Linked DNA regions of Drosophila melanogaster. The protein of the gene in region 1 interacts with the protein of each later gene in a pairwise test. Each region holds a gene or a part of one and is shown on either strand. Other genes may lie near its edges.

What was found.
Region 2: the proteins of CG13114 (region 1) and Cpr92A interact in a two-hybrid assay, tested with the Drosophila melanogaster proteins (one large-scale study listed by BioGRID).
Region 3: the proteins of CG13114 (region 1) and CG13840 interact in a two-hybrid assay, tested with the Drosophila melanogaster proteins (one large-scale study listed by BioGRID).

What each region holds. Positions count from the first base shown.
Region 1 is NT_033779.5:9,543,478-9,548,653, forward strand, and holds CG13114 (uncharacterized protein), read left to right. Parts: upstream 1-2,333; 5' UTR 2,334-2,455; intron 2,456-2,539; coding exon 2,540-3,820; 3' UTR 3,821-3,947; downstream 3,948-5,176. Other genes in the region: Cpr30B (cuticular protein 30B), read left to right, coding at 1-1; CG13113 (uncharacterized protein), read left to right, coding at 698-1,315.
Region 2 is NT_033777.3:19,596,206-19,601,588, reverse strand, and holds Cpr92A (cuticular protein 92A), read left to right. Parts: upstream 1-2,633; 5' UTR 2,634-2,754; coding exon 2,755-2,763; intron 2,764-3,097; coding exon 3,098-3,826; 3' UTR 3,827-4,087; downstream 4,088-5,383. Other genes in the region: CG7333 (uncharacterized protein), read right to left, coding at 1-143, 204-462, 522-708, 773-915.
Region 3 is NT_033777.3:22,813,187-22,818,416, reverse strand, and holds CG13840 (uncharacterized protein), read left to right. Parts: upstream 1-2,238; 5' UTR 2,239-2,379; coding exon 2,380-3,780; 3' UTR 3,781-3,934; downstream 3,935-5,230.

The DNA.
Region 1 (5,176 bases):
AAAGGATCTAATGACTGACTTCAGCTGCATAAACCCATTAGGAAACCCGTCTTGACCCGGGAAAACTCACTGCCATACATCATAATTTAGTTACAATTAAGACAATTGAGTGTACATACAGACAGCTTACATTAACCTACAATAAAGATGCATCCCATTCAATCTGTTCGCAGAGGAACACAAAAACTTGGATTTTTTAATATAGGGAATATACTTAAAAGCTGGGTGAGGGTATTTTATTGATATAAAAAAAAAAATGAGTAGTTGAGTAGTGGTTGTGTTGCAAACATACTTATATAAGTGTGAAGATCAGTTAAGAAAAATATAAGCCAAGTGAAGAAAAACCACATTATGACAGTTCACAAGTGTGACACAAAAAAGTGAAAGATTATTAAAACCAAAAAAAAAAAGTGGTGAATGAAATGCTTGACTTAGTTCAACTCGCTTGTGTGTTTGGCTTCTTCAGTGAATTCGTATCATTATATTTGCGAATTGATGTCTCATAAAATGATGCGTCACGATACAGGTGGCTTCGATACTGTGATAAGCATAAACTAATGCTATCGCCGCCAGACGCGACATGGCCCATAGATGCCTCTAATCTCACGTAGCTGCTGCCACTTTGGGGGCGTCCAATTACCGGCGCAGTCGACGTCGTCGATGGCGATTCTATTGGATTTGGCTAACGCTCTGACCAATGCATCCATGGAGCATCAGTGCGAAAATGGTCGGCTGCCCGGAGACACGACAACTACTGGTCACATTGCTATTGACCCTTGGCTTCTGCCTGGGGGGAAGCTCAAAGGATACAGTTGCGGATGCGGATGCCAAGTGGATGGCTCCACTTAAGCAGTATGGGTATACGCCGCAGCATCTGAAGAACAAAGTGGAGCATGGTGAATTCACCACCTTCGAACTGGGCACCCCCAACTACCAGATTCTCAATCCCGAAGACGAACCGGAATACATAACTGCGGATCAACCGCATTATCAGGAGATGCTGAGGCGACTTACCAGTGGTCGTAGTAAAGCTGACACCATTGATGTGGAAATGGCAAGTCGCACGGAAACGGTTCGCGAGACTTCCGATCCGGGTCAATCTAAAAAACCATCTCAAATTCAAGTGCCAGTTAAACCGAAGACACAACTAAAACAAAATCGCTGGGAGAAACTAAGGAAGCGCAGCTCCATCGAAAAAAGACGTGACCACAAGGAAACCATGGAAACTGATGTGCGGGATGATCAAAGTTTCTTCCCTGATATTCAGGTTTACCCCGGCTTACCCTTCCAAAGTCGTGTAGCAAATCTAAATTAATCATAAATAAGTCACCTCATCCAAATGTGCAAATGGCTTTGATTTTAAGTGATCTCTGGTGATTCGGACAATGAATAAATACTAAAAGTATAAAAGTAAAAAAAATAAAGTACTTTTTTAAAGGACTACTTTAAATAAATCGGAGTTTTTTGCTATTTTTCTTTGTAAGGCTAAAATTGTTATGACTTTTACTCGCAATAATGAAAATAGTGATGTTGCTTATTTTTGTTAAAACAAAAAAGATTAAGAGTGCCCCCAATTTTAAGCAGAGTTTTCCCAAAATGTTGTTTAAATAATGAGCTAGACAAAATGTTAAATGGTCAAGATACTATTATTTAAATCAGTAAAGCTTTTGTACTCAATTTGTAGGAAGATAATTTAGGTATTGAGCAATATCGCTTACAAAAATACCATTATCCATAGTGTACGTGTAGACCTTGAGTTCCACAAAGAATTACAACCAAAAATTGATAAGTCAATCGACCCCAGACGTTAATATCAGATCTAGGCCGAGACCCAGAAATTATAAATCCCCCAAGCAGCTGGAAATTTTGTGCAGAACCGAAAAAATGATCATTGCGGTCGGAATGGTTTTGGCTATTTATAAAATTAAAGATTTCAGGAGGATTGTTTATTCTGGCTAATGAGAAACTGCCTAAAAAAAATGCATTATGAAGTTCGTCTTTCTCTTAAAGGTTATTGTCATGCCAAAGGTCATACATAAATATGTTTGCTATATGTTTTTGATTAAACAACTCTTGTCGCGAGCACTCCAAGCTATCGACGAGTGCGGGCAGAAATGCTTGAATGTGTATTACGGAAGCGGCGGCATCTGGCGATTGTCTTTACCCATTCCGGACCCATTCCGGACAACCACGCCCCATTCCGAGCCGTTTGGGGCGTTTGGAACGTGATGCGGTCAACGCTTCCGCGACCCATTTGCTCGGCGTTGTAAGAACGAGAAGAAGAAGCTCTCGGCCAGCGCAGCGTATTTAAGAGCTATTCAGCAAAATGCATGAAAGAGTTTCGCACGCGACCGACCAACAGCCAACAAGTGCCATCCATCGGCGATCCGGGACAGAAATTCCAGCAATTGTGGGGAAAGTGATCGAGCGAGCGAGGGAGAAATTCAGTTGAAAGGTAGGGTAACGGGGTCAATCGATTGGGAACGATTCCGGCGCAATTCTCTGACCCATTCTAAATTCAATATTCTCCCCCCTTCAGATGTTCGAACGCTGCAATTTATTATTTATGACCATGCTGATGGCATCGGCACTATTGACCCAAGCCCATTTCCCGGAATATTGTGCGGAATGTGAACAGGAGGTGTGGGAACAGGTGCCGTGCAGCGAGGTGCCCACAACGGTAGCGCCAACAACAACCGGAGGCTCTACGTTGAGCCCGCCCACAACCAGCGCCACCAGCCCGGGACCTATTTACCCAACAACAACCAGTGCCCCACCCACGCCCACGGATTACACTACACAGCCATCGGAGTACAAGAAGTGCTACTGCGAATGCAAGCTGGGCTGCAAGGAGTTCTGCCGCAAGGTGATCTCTTCTGAGCCCAAGCAGCCGCTCACCCAGATCTCATCCATTGGGGAGTATGCCCCAGGTGGCCAGGTGGAGTACACGCATGTCCATCAGCGCAAATACTTTCCCAAGTACGGAGGCGAATCCTATGGGGGATTGGTAGGACCAGTGGGCGGACCCAAGGCCTATAAGCCATATCCATTGGTCTACGAACAGGCGGCATCAGCTGCTTCACCGGCTTCCATTCCCTCGGTGGCTTCCTCACCAGCGGTGGCCAGCATAGCTGCTCCTAATTACACGCTGGAGGAGTTGGCCCAATTGCTTAGCACTGCGTATGGCACCAAGAAGGGCTACCCAGCTAGTGTGCCAACTCCGCCACGTATTCAGCTTCAGCCAGCTCCCTCCGTTTTCTATTCCCCGGTTCCAAGCTACAAAAAGCAAGTGGTTCCACTCGTGAGCAAAGTGGCGCCGGCACCCAAAATCTCCTCCAGCATTAAGTATGCCGCCTCAGCGGTTTCATCATCATCATCGGGCGTGTCGGTGGCCAAGATAAAGACTCCCTACGAGGAGAAGATTGTGGTGGCCACACCGTCTCCCATTTATGAGAGATCCACATCGTATCCTATTGTTGAAGCACCCAAGGAATACTCGGCGCCCCAGACGGAAGTCTATCCCGTTGTGCAGAGCCAAACGGAGTCGTATCCCAGCCACACACCCATATATCCAAGTCCCACGGAATCCTATCCCAGCCAAAAGGACTCCTACCCCAGCATCACAGAGTCATATCCCAGCCAAACTGAGTCCTATCAACCGCGTACGGAAGCCTATCCCGTACCCCAACCGGAGATCAAGCCATATGGTGGTCCCGATTCTGGACCCGATAAGCCATCGTCCACGTTCGATCTGGCCATCGATAATTATCTGAAGGACTTCGGATATGGCAACCAAGGAAGGGGATATGCGGACTACTAAAGTTCCATACGTTGTTTTTTAGGATTAGTCTAGGCTAGAATGTTTTCTAGGTATCCCATTATTTATTGATGTACTCCCCGTTTCCTGTTGACTACATGATGATTAAATAAATTATTAACAAAAAACTAAAGAATATTATGGTCTTAGTATTATAGTTGAAATAACTATTGCATACTTTTGGGCTATAAAGTAGCAATTTCCCCCCTTCGATTTTGTTAAAAGAATTAATGAAACAAGAGATAAAAATTTACAAGACTAATAAAATTATGAAAAAAAGCTTTTATAGTTCCTGAAATCTCGACTTTCATACGGACATAACCAGATCGACTTGGCTATTGATCCTATTGATCAAGAATATATATACTTTATACATAGTATAAAGTAGCGAGTTTGCTACTTTTCAAAAACGATCATTTATAATTCGGCTTGACGCATTTTATTATTTGTATTTAAAAAGTTTTCTTCATTTGCATTCATTTTTTTATATACTTTCTTGTTGTCGATAACATTGAATAAGATTTCATCTTACGCATTTCGCCAGCTTAATTCTGGTTTATGCTTGCCAATTTTGATAAGCATAGATATATACACAAATTAGATTCATAAATTTTCGTATGCAAATATATATGATTTATGCAATATGAATGTTTTCAAACAGCGCTTATTTAACCGTTGATCAAGGCGAATCCAAATTGTTTTTGGTATTTCCAATTTGTATTTTCACAAATTTTACGCACCAGCTCAAGTCTTTCATTTTCTAAGGTTTTACATTTGTGGAGCTTATTCATTTCAATTTTCTGTATGACACGATCTAGAAAGGATGTCGGATTGAGAAAATTTCTATAGGCACACACAAAAATAGCCATGGAAATCAGAAAGTTATATAAGTAGCTCACTATAATTGCACTTGATAGGATATAAATATTCAACAAACGAAGTAATAAGAACAATTTGCATAGTACACTTGCAAAGATGCGAATGTGCGGTTTTATTTATTTTCAATAATGTTTGCATATAAAATAACAAATAAAAAAGTGAAATCATAATATTTAGAACATATTCGTACATTGTAAATGAAGTGAAACTAAAAACGATAAATTGCAACACTTTGAAATAATGACGTCGTCCCAGCTATGAATTTAAACGTAAATTATCGAGAAGAAAATATAGTTATAGTTATACGATATTTTAAAATGTATATATACAGCTTCATTCATTAACAATCTCGATCCGTTGCTTTAAAGAATATAATTTTCGGATTCCATAAATCTCCTTAAACCTTTCCGTATTCAATTTCGTTTCGAAAATGTTCAACTGGTAAACCAAAAACAGAGCCCAAGATACCTGATATCTTGT
Region 2 (5,383 bases), on another chromosome or scaffold:
AAGAGATGCCAGCCAAAGGTAGCGTCGCCAATTACCAATCCAAATGGCGGCCCAGGGCGAGGTCATCAGTCCAAAACAGTAGAATACAGCCAAGATGATGTTGAGGCCAAAGGTACGGCTCTTGGGGCTTAAGTACTCAAAGACTGACGATATGGGGAACGTAGATTAATTTAACCTTATATTTTGATTTAAAGTTATATTACCCAATATGTACATTAGGTAGTACATGGTATCAGTGGATAGCCCTGACATAAATCTGGAAAAGGCGAACCAGGGCAGCGTGTGCACAAAGGAGGTGATAAAATCCCCAGTTGCACCACACAAGGTGGCCATCAGCAGGGAAGGCAGACGACCTACTTGATCCGACAGATAGCCAAAGATTATGGTGCCCACGACTGAGCCCATGAAGAAGAAGGATTGGCCCACTGCTGGATGATGCGATTTGTCACAAACCCATTTGAGCTGAAGTGGGTTTTCTATATTGTAAATCTTTTCAACAACGTTTTTCAATGGCTTCATACCTCGGTGGTAATGCTTTCGTAGCCGCTCTCCCTGTTAAAAATCCAATTCCTGCACTTTCGGTTCGTAGATACAACACCTGTGCCGTTGACTACGCCCAAAAGGGGCGTGCAGGATGAGGCGGATATGTTTTCATATACCGAGCGAATCCCTTCAACACTGAGACCATTAAGGTCAGCATGGAAGCACCTGCATAAGAAAGATTGGATATTACATGGTCGGGACCAATCACCCATTTTGTGTCCACACTCACCAATGCTCTGGTGTGAAGGTGATAAGGGTCTGCGAAAAGTAGTGCAGTGATCCAAGAATATTTGTGTAGCCGTACAGCAAAAGGATCATCACCTGGAACCTGCCATAGTTTCCACACTTATCCAGAACCTGACTGAAATCCATCAGACGTTGCTTCGATGACATAAAAAATTTCCAAAGCGACTGACTACTTCCAACTCCCTTTGAGAACTGACCAGAAGCTAAATTAAACTGCGCTGGGAATAGCCATAAATTTATCTTTAGCGGCTTTAGGCAATATGTTTCATAAAGCTAAAACAGCTGGATGGGTTTTAAAATTACAGATATACCGTCAAATGTTTTGCCAGCTGTGAGCCCTGTAATTGGGAAAATATCTACAGGAGATGTCACATCTATCGCGTAAGTTTTTGTCGAAACAAAATTTTTGCAATTAAAATACCTACATACATACCAATATTGTGCTTAACTAATCCATTATTGACTAGATTTTCCATTCAGCCATATTGGCAACTTTGTAGCATTAGCCTGCCATTCTTGTTGATCAATTGCTTTGATCTTCTGGCTAAAAATAGTTAAAACAGCTGACATCGACTGGCCCGGCGGTTGGCACGACTTTGATTCTTTGTTATAGTTAGTTGTCGCATAAACAGGCCCGATGGTAACAGCAAGGGTAAGACAATGCATGCAGATGTCAATAGTTTTCCAGATGCCAGATACAAATTTGCAGCCATAAATTAAGCTCACAAAACGGTAAACATGAGAATTGTCGCAGACACTTGGTCGTTAGAGGCTGGAAAGGGTATTTTTGGCTAATCAGGCACTCTTAGGAACTAGCTGCAAACTTTTTTGGTCCTTCCAGAAATTATCTCAAGTTTATCATTGATTATAAACTATGTAACTGATCAGTATTCCTATTACAATGTGTCCTATCATAGTCAGCTTTTAGCATCTCCGCTACGTAGCAACCATTTAAGGGGAAGATCAAACAGAAAACCAGTCTTCAGCTGAAGGATCAGTCATGAGTAACCTTATATAGTCGTCATGCCACTTTTTGAAGGGTATTATTAATGACATTATTTGCCTAGACTGCAAGTGGTTGTTTGGCCTGGTCTGTGGGCCAGACTAATGTGCCGACAGCAGCGCGTTGACCTTTTGCTTTATTAGGCTGTTGTGGCGAGCCAGTCGCCCCTGTTTCCGCCCCCCTTCTTCGGTGAGCCTCTGGCTTTTGGGCCCACTCCAGGCACTCTTAATTCAATTGTGGACCACCTGACCTTTTGCGCATGCGCTGCAACTGCCATTTCATATGGAACCTCAACATCGCCCGGTGCAGCTTGTTCTTCTTAGCTAATTACGCGGCAGCCAAATGCAGCATATCCTAACATCCAGCCAATGTTAATGTAACATTTCAATTGTGTGCGGCAAAATAAATTTTCACATAATTGCCAAAAGTCGGTGTCCAAGCGGGTATTGAAAAGCGAATCGAAAACGAATCGTAAACGTCGCAAAAGTGAAAGGGCAAAGCTCGGGTTGGATTGGCTCCGGGGTCTGGGGACCCTTTAAATGGTTTAGCGGAAGAATAACCTTTCTAAGTCGACACGATAACTGCGCCAAAGTTGAAGCCAGGCACACGATTTGCCGCCAGGTGGGCAAGAGTCAATCCCCGCCCCCGTGGCTCCGCAGTACTGGTCCGCGCCATGTGCTTGATCGCTGGCCCAAGACACCGAAGACTCCGTCTGGCCGGGTCTCTCTTGATCTGAAATTAGTTTATTGCCTCGACTGCGCCATGTGAAGCAGGCGACATTTGCCGCCGTTTGCCAGTATAAATGGCCAGAACTTCCAGCGAACGCTTGCAGTTTTGGTTACTTCTTCTAGCGCGATCGTCGTCGAAACCAACAATACTCCGGCCACTCTCTACGTGTGGTGTCTGCTGAGTCTGTGACAACTGTGAGCGAGTGGAAAGGATACCCCTGCAAGGACATCGTTATGCTGAAGGTGTGAAAACAAAGGATACCAAAGTGCTCTTATAGTCTGGACAATCAAGTTTAAGCCGATTTAACATATTCTCAAGGGGAATGCCAAGATGAATTAACCAAGTGTTCCTATTACTAAAAGCTTATATTTTATTCATACAAAGAAAATTAGTGCATAAAGAAGATAGTTTAAGTCCTAATGAAACCCGTCGAATGATCCGAGTTAATATGTGATTTGATTTAAATTAAATTTAATTGCCAAGAATTATTCTAAACAATTCTTCCCTGTCCTCATATTACTTAAAGCTTATTTCAATTTAATCGCTTTCAACATTTTCTTTTAATTTTTTTTTCAGATTTCCCTGCTGAGCGCCATGCTCGGCATCGCCTATGCGGGCGTGATTGGACCCGGACCATACTATGGCGGTCCAGCTGGTCCCGGACCTCTGCACCACTATGGAGGATATGCACCGCAGCATGGGCCCCTGCCAGGTCCCTATGTGGCGCCCAAGCCGGCTGCTCCCGAACCCTACGATCCCGACCCGAAGTACTCCTTTGGCTACGACATCCAGGATGGTTATACTGGTGACCTGAAGTCACAGCACGAGACGCGCCACGGAGATGTGGTGAAGGGCAGCTACTCGGTTGTGGATCCGGATGGAACCAAACGCACCGTTGACTACACAGCGGATCCCCATCACGGATTCAATGCGGTGGTCCGCAAGGAGCCGCTGGCCTACAAGGCACCAGCCCACCTGGCACCCGTCGTCGCACCTGCACCCGCTCCAGTACCAGCTCATTACGGCCCAGCTCCGGCGCCTCCACTTCCGCCGGTGCCCAAGGCTCCTCTGCTTTCGTATCCTCTTGCCTTAGGACCTTACCACCGTGGTGCTCCCGCTCCTGCACCAGGTCCCGCTCCCGCTCCTGCTCCAGCTCCGGTGTCTGTGCCAGTGGCTACTCCAGTCCTGCCCTCCGCCCACTTCCATGCCGCCTATCCCGCCCTGGCGCACAGCCCCTATGCCCACTATCCGGCTCCAGGTCCGGCCCCCGCTCCAGTGGAACCCCATGCCTACTACCATCACTGAGGGACCAAGGTTCTCAACTATCTGATCTGATTTGATTCGACTTCATCTATCGCACGCAGCTTACACTGACCCAAAACTGAAACTCCGGCTATATCTGTGCCAAACGCTGTACTCTCAATCTCTTACTCTGTGTTCTTCGAGGGATTTGATACCGATCCAACATGTAGATTGATTCTAAGTTACCCCTAGCCTATGTACACGTCTTTAAGAAAATGTTGTTGAATGGTTAGTCTAGGAAATAAAACGAGAATTGAAAAACCTAACAAATTTGTTTGCGGTCTTCCCTAGAAACTATTAGATTGAAGTTCCGAAGCCAAGAAGAAAATAGTCCCACAAAAAGTTTTTAAATAATTTAAAAAACAACGTTTTAACGCAATTGATGAGTGTTTTATTTATTGTATCAACTTTTCGCAATGGTTCATATATGTATATGTTATATGATATCGTATGTGGCATATCTCATATGTATAATTTCTGATTATGTATAAATATGTATATGTGTGTTGTATATAAACGTTTCGAGTATGTCACCGTATGTTATAAATAAGTTTATTACAATGCATAATGTGTTATTATTTATGTATTATGTTTTATGTTTAATAGGTTCTATGAGCTACCATTCGTAGAACATACTGAAATGTTTTCGATATCGATATAAATTTATGTACTCCTCAGCCGACTTCAAAAGTTCATCAGTGTGCAGAGTGCGTTTTGGTCTCGCTGCACTCGATTAGGTATACAATTTAAATACGATTATAGTCCTTAGTTTTGTAATAAACGGTATCAAAAGATAGGTACAATTGAGTCATGCCTGCTACCACTAAATTAATTTCGAAGCTTCTATTCCAACAAAAACGATTAGTTGCCAAGCTCGGGGCTTTGTGTCTATCATTATCCGTCTGATTGATTTGATGTGTACGATTATTTAAACTAAGGGTCTTTAGGCTGATATACCATACAAAAGTGCTGTGCTCTAGAGGCCTTTACAGTTGGACACAATTTAGCTAAGTAATCTGCTTAGAATAAGAGACTAATATACGGTGTACATACCGCTAATATAAATAAGCGGCTAATATAGCTCACAGTATTCCTTGACAATTGTATAATATTTAATTCATAATTTCTTCGTTGATTGTTTGGCTTCGTCTCGGACTTCTCCGTCCGATTTCCTCGTCGGTTCTCGCGTTAGGTAAAAATCTATTGTAGACAACCACTGGATGATGAAGACTATTTCGGGATATGCTTGAATTGCGTTGCTTGATATCAGTTGTCAGTATATAAAATTGTGGACAAACAAATGGCAGCTTTGGCTATTCTCAACTCAGATCTCAGTTACTAGACTTGATGCTTTTAAATTCGTCCTCGACTACGTACTCCTAGAGATGGCTTTACCCATATAAAGTTTATATATTTGCCGTTGAATGGGATATGTTTCACTAATGATTAAATAGTTGACTTAAGCATTTTTGTTTCGATTTTGGTTCATTTGTTTATAACTTGAAACGGAGGGTTTTCATTTATTAAACTTGATTGGTTATTGGTAGGACATCTTTTCCA
Region 3 (5,230 bases), on another chromosome or scaffold:
ACTTGGCATTAGGGCCCAAACTATACAGCCAAGGCCAAGTTTTGGGCCAAATCTTTGTGGGGAGTGGACCAACAAACGAGGACGGAACGACCATCGGCATCGACGGCCGAAAGGCAATGGAACCGTAAATTCTATTGCATGACTTGATTAAATTCGCATGCAACGATGACCGTCGACCCCGAGTCACCCACAACATCGGAGTCCGCCGTATCCGCCGAAGCCTCTGAGTCCCCCATTAAAAAAAAAAAAACCCACCTCCGAGCGGGTCAAGCAAAGGCCAGCGACGTTGCCAACTATGCCATAGCTGGAATTTCTTGGCTATTTGCTGGCTGCCTTGGCTTCTGTTTTTGCTGGCTGCTGGATTTTTGCCTTTCCTTCGACCGTTTTCTCATTTTAACGTTTTAACGTGACTTAATGAAGTTTCAGTGTCACAGCAAAATCTGCTCCTGCTGCTCCTGCTGCTCCTCTCCGCCTGTTAATTTTATGATGGATTTTATGCAGAGCGCGCCAAAGAAAACTTTGAACTTTAATAAGTATGTGTATGCAGGCATTTAACTTTGCCATCGTTTTGTCGATTTTTTCTACTCACTTTTTTTTATTTTCTGTTCTTTTTTTTTTTAGTAGATTTTTTTCTTTACACATTTTGGCCATGTTAAGCTGGGTGGCTAGCTGGCTGGCTTCTTTTCTATGGGAACTTTGCTAAAATATGCTTCACAGGGCTTGAAAGCATTTGAAGTAATGAAAAAGAAGCGAAAAAAATTGCATCCAACAAGTATAACACACACACTCTCGTTCCAGGTGATATGGATGGGGAGGTTTAACTGTACAGTGAAGCTGCGCAAAATTTAACGAAGCTTAACCTCATTCAATGTGAAAATACACTTTACTTGTACTTTGCGCTGTTATTTCAAAAGTGCGGTGACGGTGGGCGTTGCTGCTAACGCCGCTCTAAGGGGGCGTGGCTAAGGTGGGTCTATATATATACAAATATATATATATATATGTATATAGAGAAAGGTGGCGATGCGAACCTGGTGAACTTTGCAAACTTAAATGCAGAGCAGAATGATGAATGATCCAAGGATGCCAGGCTAGCAACGAAAAGAACTCGCTCTATCTCCGTTTTTCGCCGACTTTCCCTTGATTTCCCGCCAGAGGCAACTACTCGCAGAGAAAATCACAAATATAAGATTAAAATCGGAAAATAACACTACAATACTTTAAACGAACTACGAATGGCAGAAAACACAAAAATGGTAACTAAGGTATAATATATCTATGTATCACATATTAAATGTATCTTCAATTCTACAAACCTGAATATAGAAATATTATAATCTTATATCAACTATTTTGCTGAGTGCACTATAAAATCGCTGAGAATGCTATTCCCGCAAAGGTTCTTTAAAATTGAATCACTTTAGACCCAAAGTGCATTGTCAGCTTTGAGTGAGTGAAGGCGTGGCTGGTAAATTATGCAAGAGCAACGATACCAAATGTCGTCGAATGCATCCAGATGAAAATTGAAAGTGCTGCAATCCGAGATCTCAGACGCGTTTCAAATCTCCGGCGATTGCACTTGGCAAAGACCGGACCGCAAGCACATGAAGCGCACGTCACCATTTGTGCAATCAAACATCGGAATGGCCGCGACATTGACCGCAAGCTGCCACACAGTGTGAAATCCGATGCGGCTGGGAGCCAACCGGTGCACAGTGGTTACAGCTATGTTGAAAATTATCAAATATTATGCTAGCTTAAAAAGGAAGCAATATTTATGCACTCAAAACAAAACTTACTTAATTTAATAACTTCATTTTTACCATTTTTATCACATCCACAATAGATTTTCTTTTTTAATTTTTGAGCCCTATTAGACCACAGTGCATAGGTCGATGTGCATTGCGGGCTAGCAATTGCGGTATAGCTGCGTATTTTGTGATTGCGAATTGTGCGGACAGCGGATCGCCGCCTCACTTGCATCTGAAAGGAACAACCAGAAAGGGACTATCTGGAACAGTTGGTGTGTGCCGCCGAGTGAAAGTGAGTGCCTGGGCATGGGCTTCCACTTACACAATCCATGGTGGATTGGCCAATGAACTTGAAGTGCCAACGAGGATATCCAATTACAAGTAGAGCGCTCCAAGCATTTGAAGAGTGTGTGTGTGCTATAAAAACAGCATCGCGATGTCACAAATTTGCATTTCAAAGCGGAGCAACACCCACGCCAGCTGCATCCAAACACGCACTCCGTTGGCGGATTGGAACAAAGGATATAGGACACAGGAGTTCAGGATTTCAGGACACACACAACCACCCAACGTTATGGGGCGGCCAAAATCCGGCCAAGGCTTTGGGTCACCTGCCACCAGTTCATTAATGATCTATGCATTAATGTGGCTCGCTTTGGCCATGACAATGGAGGCCATAGATGCCCCACTGCCCCTATCCCTGGCGGAGTACCCGCTCGGCCTGTCGCTGGAACATGGCAGCAAACACCATTACCAGGATGCGGGTGTGGACTCGTTGCCGGGATTAACAGGATATACGCGAAATTATTATGGCCCCACTGACACTGCAGCCGGCGATGACTTGGCAACATATGGAAATTATGCTCACAAACTCCTGGCCGCCACCCATCAACAGCACCATCGCCATTCGCAATCCTCCCTTGGCACCACGGCCAATGGCTTTGTGCCCTTCTACTACAACAGCAAACTGCACTCGCCATTCACCGCGGATGAGGAGCCGCGTCGCGACCCATCCGCCAATATCGATTTTGTCATTAATACGGCAAATTATGAGCCAAATTCCGCTGGCTACGATGTGGAGCCACATCATGGGGAGCAGCACTACGAAAGCTATGCATATCGGCCGCGGGTGCAGTTTGCCACATCGCTACCCGGTCCCAGCGATTACCATTTCGAACAAATTTCCAATTACCGGGAGAATCGCCAGCGGGAGCAGGAGGTGGAGCAACATCAGCAGCAGCAGCACCAGGAGCAGGAGGATATTACTAGTATCTATGCGCGGCTCAAAGAACTCCAGACACCGGCCAATCCAGTTAAGCGTCAGCAGGAAGAGTCCCTATCGAGTCATCATCCAAACCGGGAGCAAAGCCAGCCACTGGAGCAGCGACATTATCAGCAACCTGAAAGCAGACAGCTGCAACAGCCACACTTGCAACAACATCTGCAACAAAAGCGGCCACATGCGCTGCAATATCCTCAGGATCAACGGCATCACCAGCGCCTGGGAGTTGCCCAGGACCAGCAGATGTTGTACTCTCACAAGGATAGCCAGATTGCAGATCTCCCAGCCATAACCACCAGTGTGCACCATACTCCGGAGAGCAGTAAAGCGGTAGCCGGATTGCCGTTGGCCAAGCACATCGAGATCACTAAGAGTGTGCCCATCACCCACTATCAGAAGCAGCATGTGCCCTTCAAGCAGAACGTCCAGGTGCAAGTGCCACGAACCGTGATCGCAGCCATACCCAAGCCCATGCCCATCAAAATACCAGTGGCCCAAACGGTGGCCGTGCCCCAGATGCAAGAGGTTAAGATTCCCATCGAACGGGTGAAGCCGGTGCCCGTGGAGCGGCCCATTCCCTTTGTGGTTGAGCGCAGGGTACCCTACCGAGTGGAGAAGCCGGTGGTCTCGCCAGTTTATTATCCGTATCCGGTCAAAGTGCCAGTGGTGCGCACGGTGGTGCACAAGCAGCGCCCCCACTACGTGGCACCCGGCTGGAGTGCCAACGGCAATCATCTGCTGGGATGAGTCTATCTTAAGAATAAATTCTTAAGCCAGTTTTATACCCTTGCAAAAGGGGTTTTTTGATTTGTAAAGTAAAAGTACAAACTGTAGGGTAGTCGATAAATATATTTTTGGTGGAATGTTCTTAAGTTGAATTAAATACATTTATTAATTTTTCATGTTATGCAGTTTGATTAACGGCTAGAGTATTTCAAATTCAGCTTATGCCTTAATTTCTAGTGACTGAACCCCAAAAAGTAATTGCAATTAGCAAAACAAGAAGACAAAAAAGGCCACCGACAGCAACTGCAGTGTGGCTGCAAAAGCATCCAGCATGCAACTCCTTGATCCCAAATCCAAGTTTCTAACTCCCAGTTAACAGCTACCAAACAAAACAACACATTCGGAGTCGAAGTTGAAGTTGGAGTCACAGGGCAGGTCCCAAACCGAAATGAAGAAAAGTAGCCGAGTAAAACTTTTTAATTGAGCTAAAATCCAACAAATGCGGCTAATAAATATGTATTGAAGTGCGATGGGCAGAACGAGGCTGAAGTCCGGTTGCAATGCAAAAGGGGGCTGCAGCGAAAGTGCAAGAAAATGCAGCGGCTAATTGCCAAATGTAACTCCAGTTGAAACAACTTTTAACTGAAACAGCAGAAGGAGCAACAATGACGCACAAATAAACGCGACGTTCAACTTCGCCGAGGCGTTAACGAAACAGCAACAAAATTAGCCAAAAAGTAAAGTTCCAGCAAGGGTCGCGAAAAGTCGGGCCAGTAGTTTCTGGTTGGGGAAAGTGCTGCAAGTTATTGCCGGCTAATGAAATTAGCCCTAATTGACGTGGGAGCCATTCGACTCCATTTTTAGGGAGGCGAAGTGAGGAAGAACTCCGCACCCACCACACACAATATATGTAATATTCGGCAGCAAAGGAGAATTTAAGGAAAATGTTTGGGGAAAAATGAGTTCAAAGATTTGGGGTTTAAAGCGCTTTGACTACTTACTTAATACTCATTACTCAGCCACCTAGCGGTAGACCAACAAACCTAAGCTTACTGAGTCCTTCTTTTTCTTGGGAAAATTAAACGTTGGAAAATAGTTGCATTACTTTTCTAGCTGTGTACTAAATTTTGTAAATTCAATTCGTTGCAGGCCACATTATTAGCATTTATAAGCCACATACCTATGCTGAGGAAAACCGCAAAGCGACGGAAACCAACTAAAAATCAAATATAATAAGCATGCGTGCAAATCAACGCTTTTCCGTGAATCCCGCTGCTACACATGTAGTTGTGCAGTGGGTATGCAAATAGTAAATGGCGCTTGCAGCCGAATAAATGTGCATAAATTCATAATTGCACTGCCCACATTAACCGCTTCGTTAGGAATTTTGCTCATCTGACCACTGGCCACCACAGCCGGCGGCCGTTGGTCCCGTTTTCTGGCCACCGTAGCCCAAATCCAGTGTCTAACG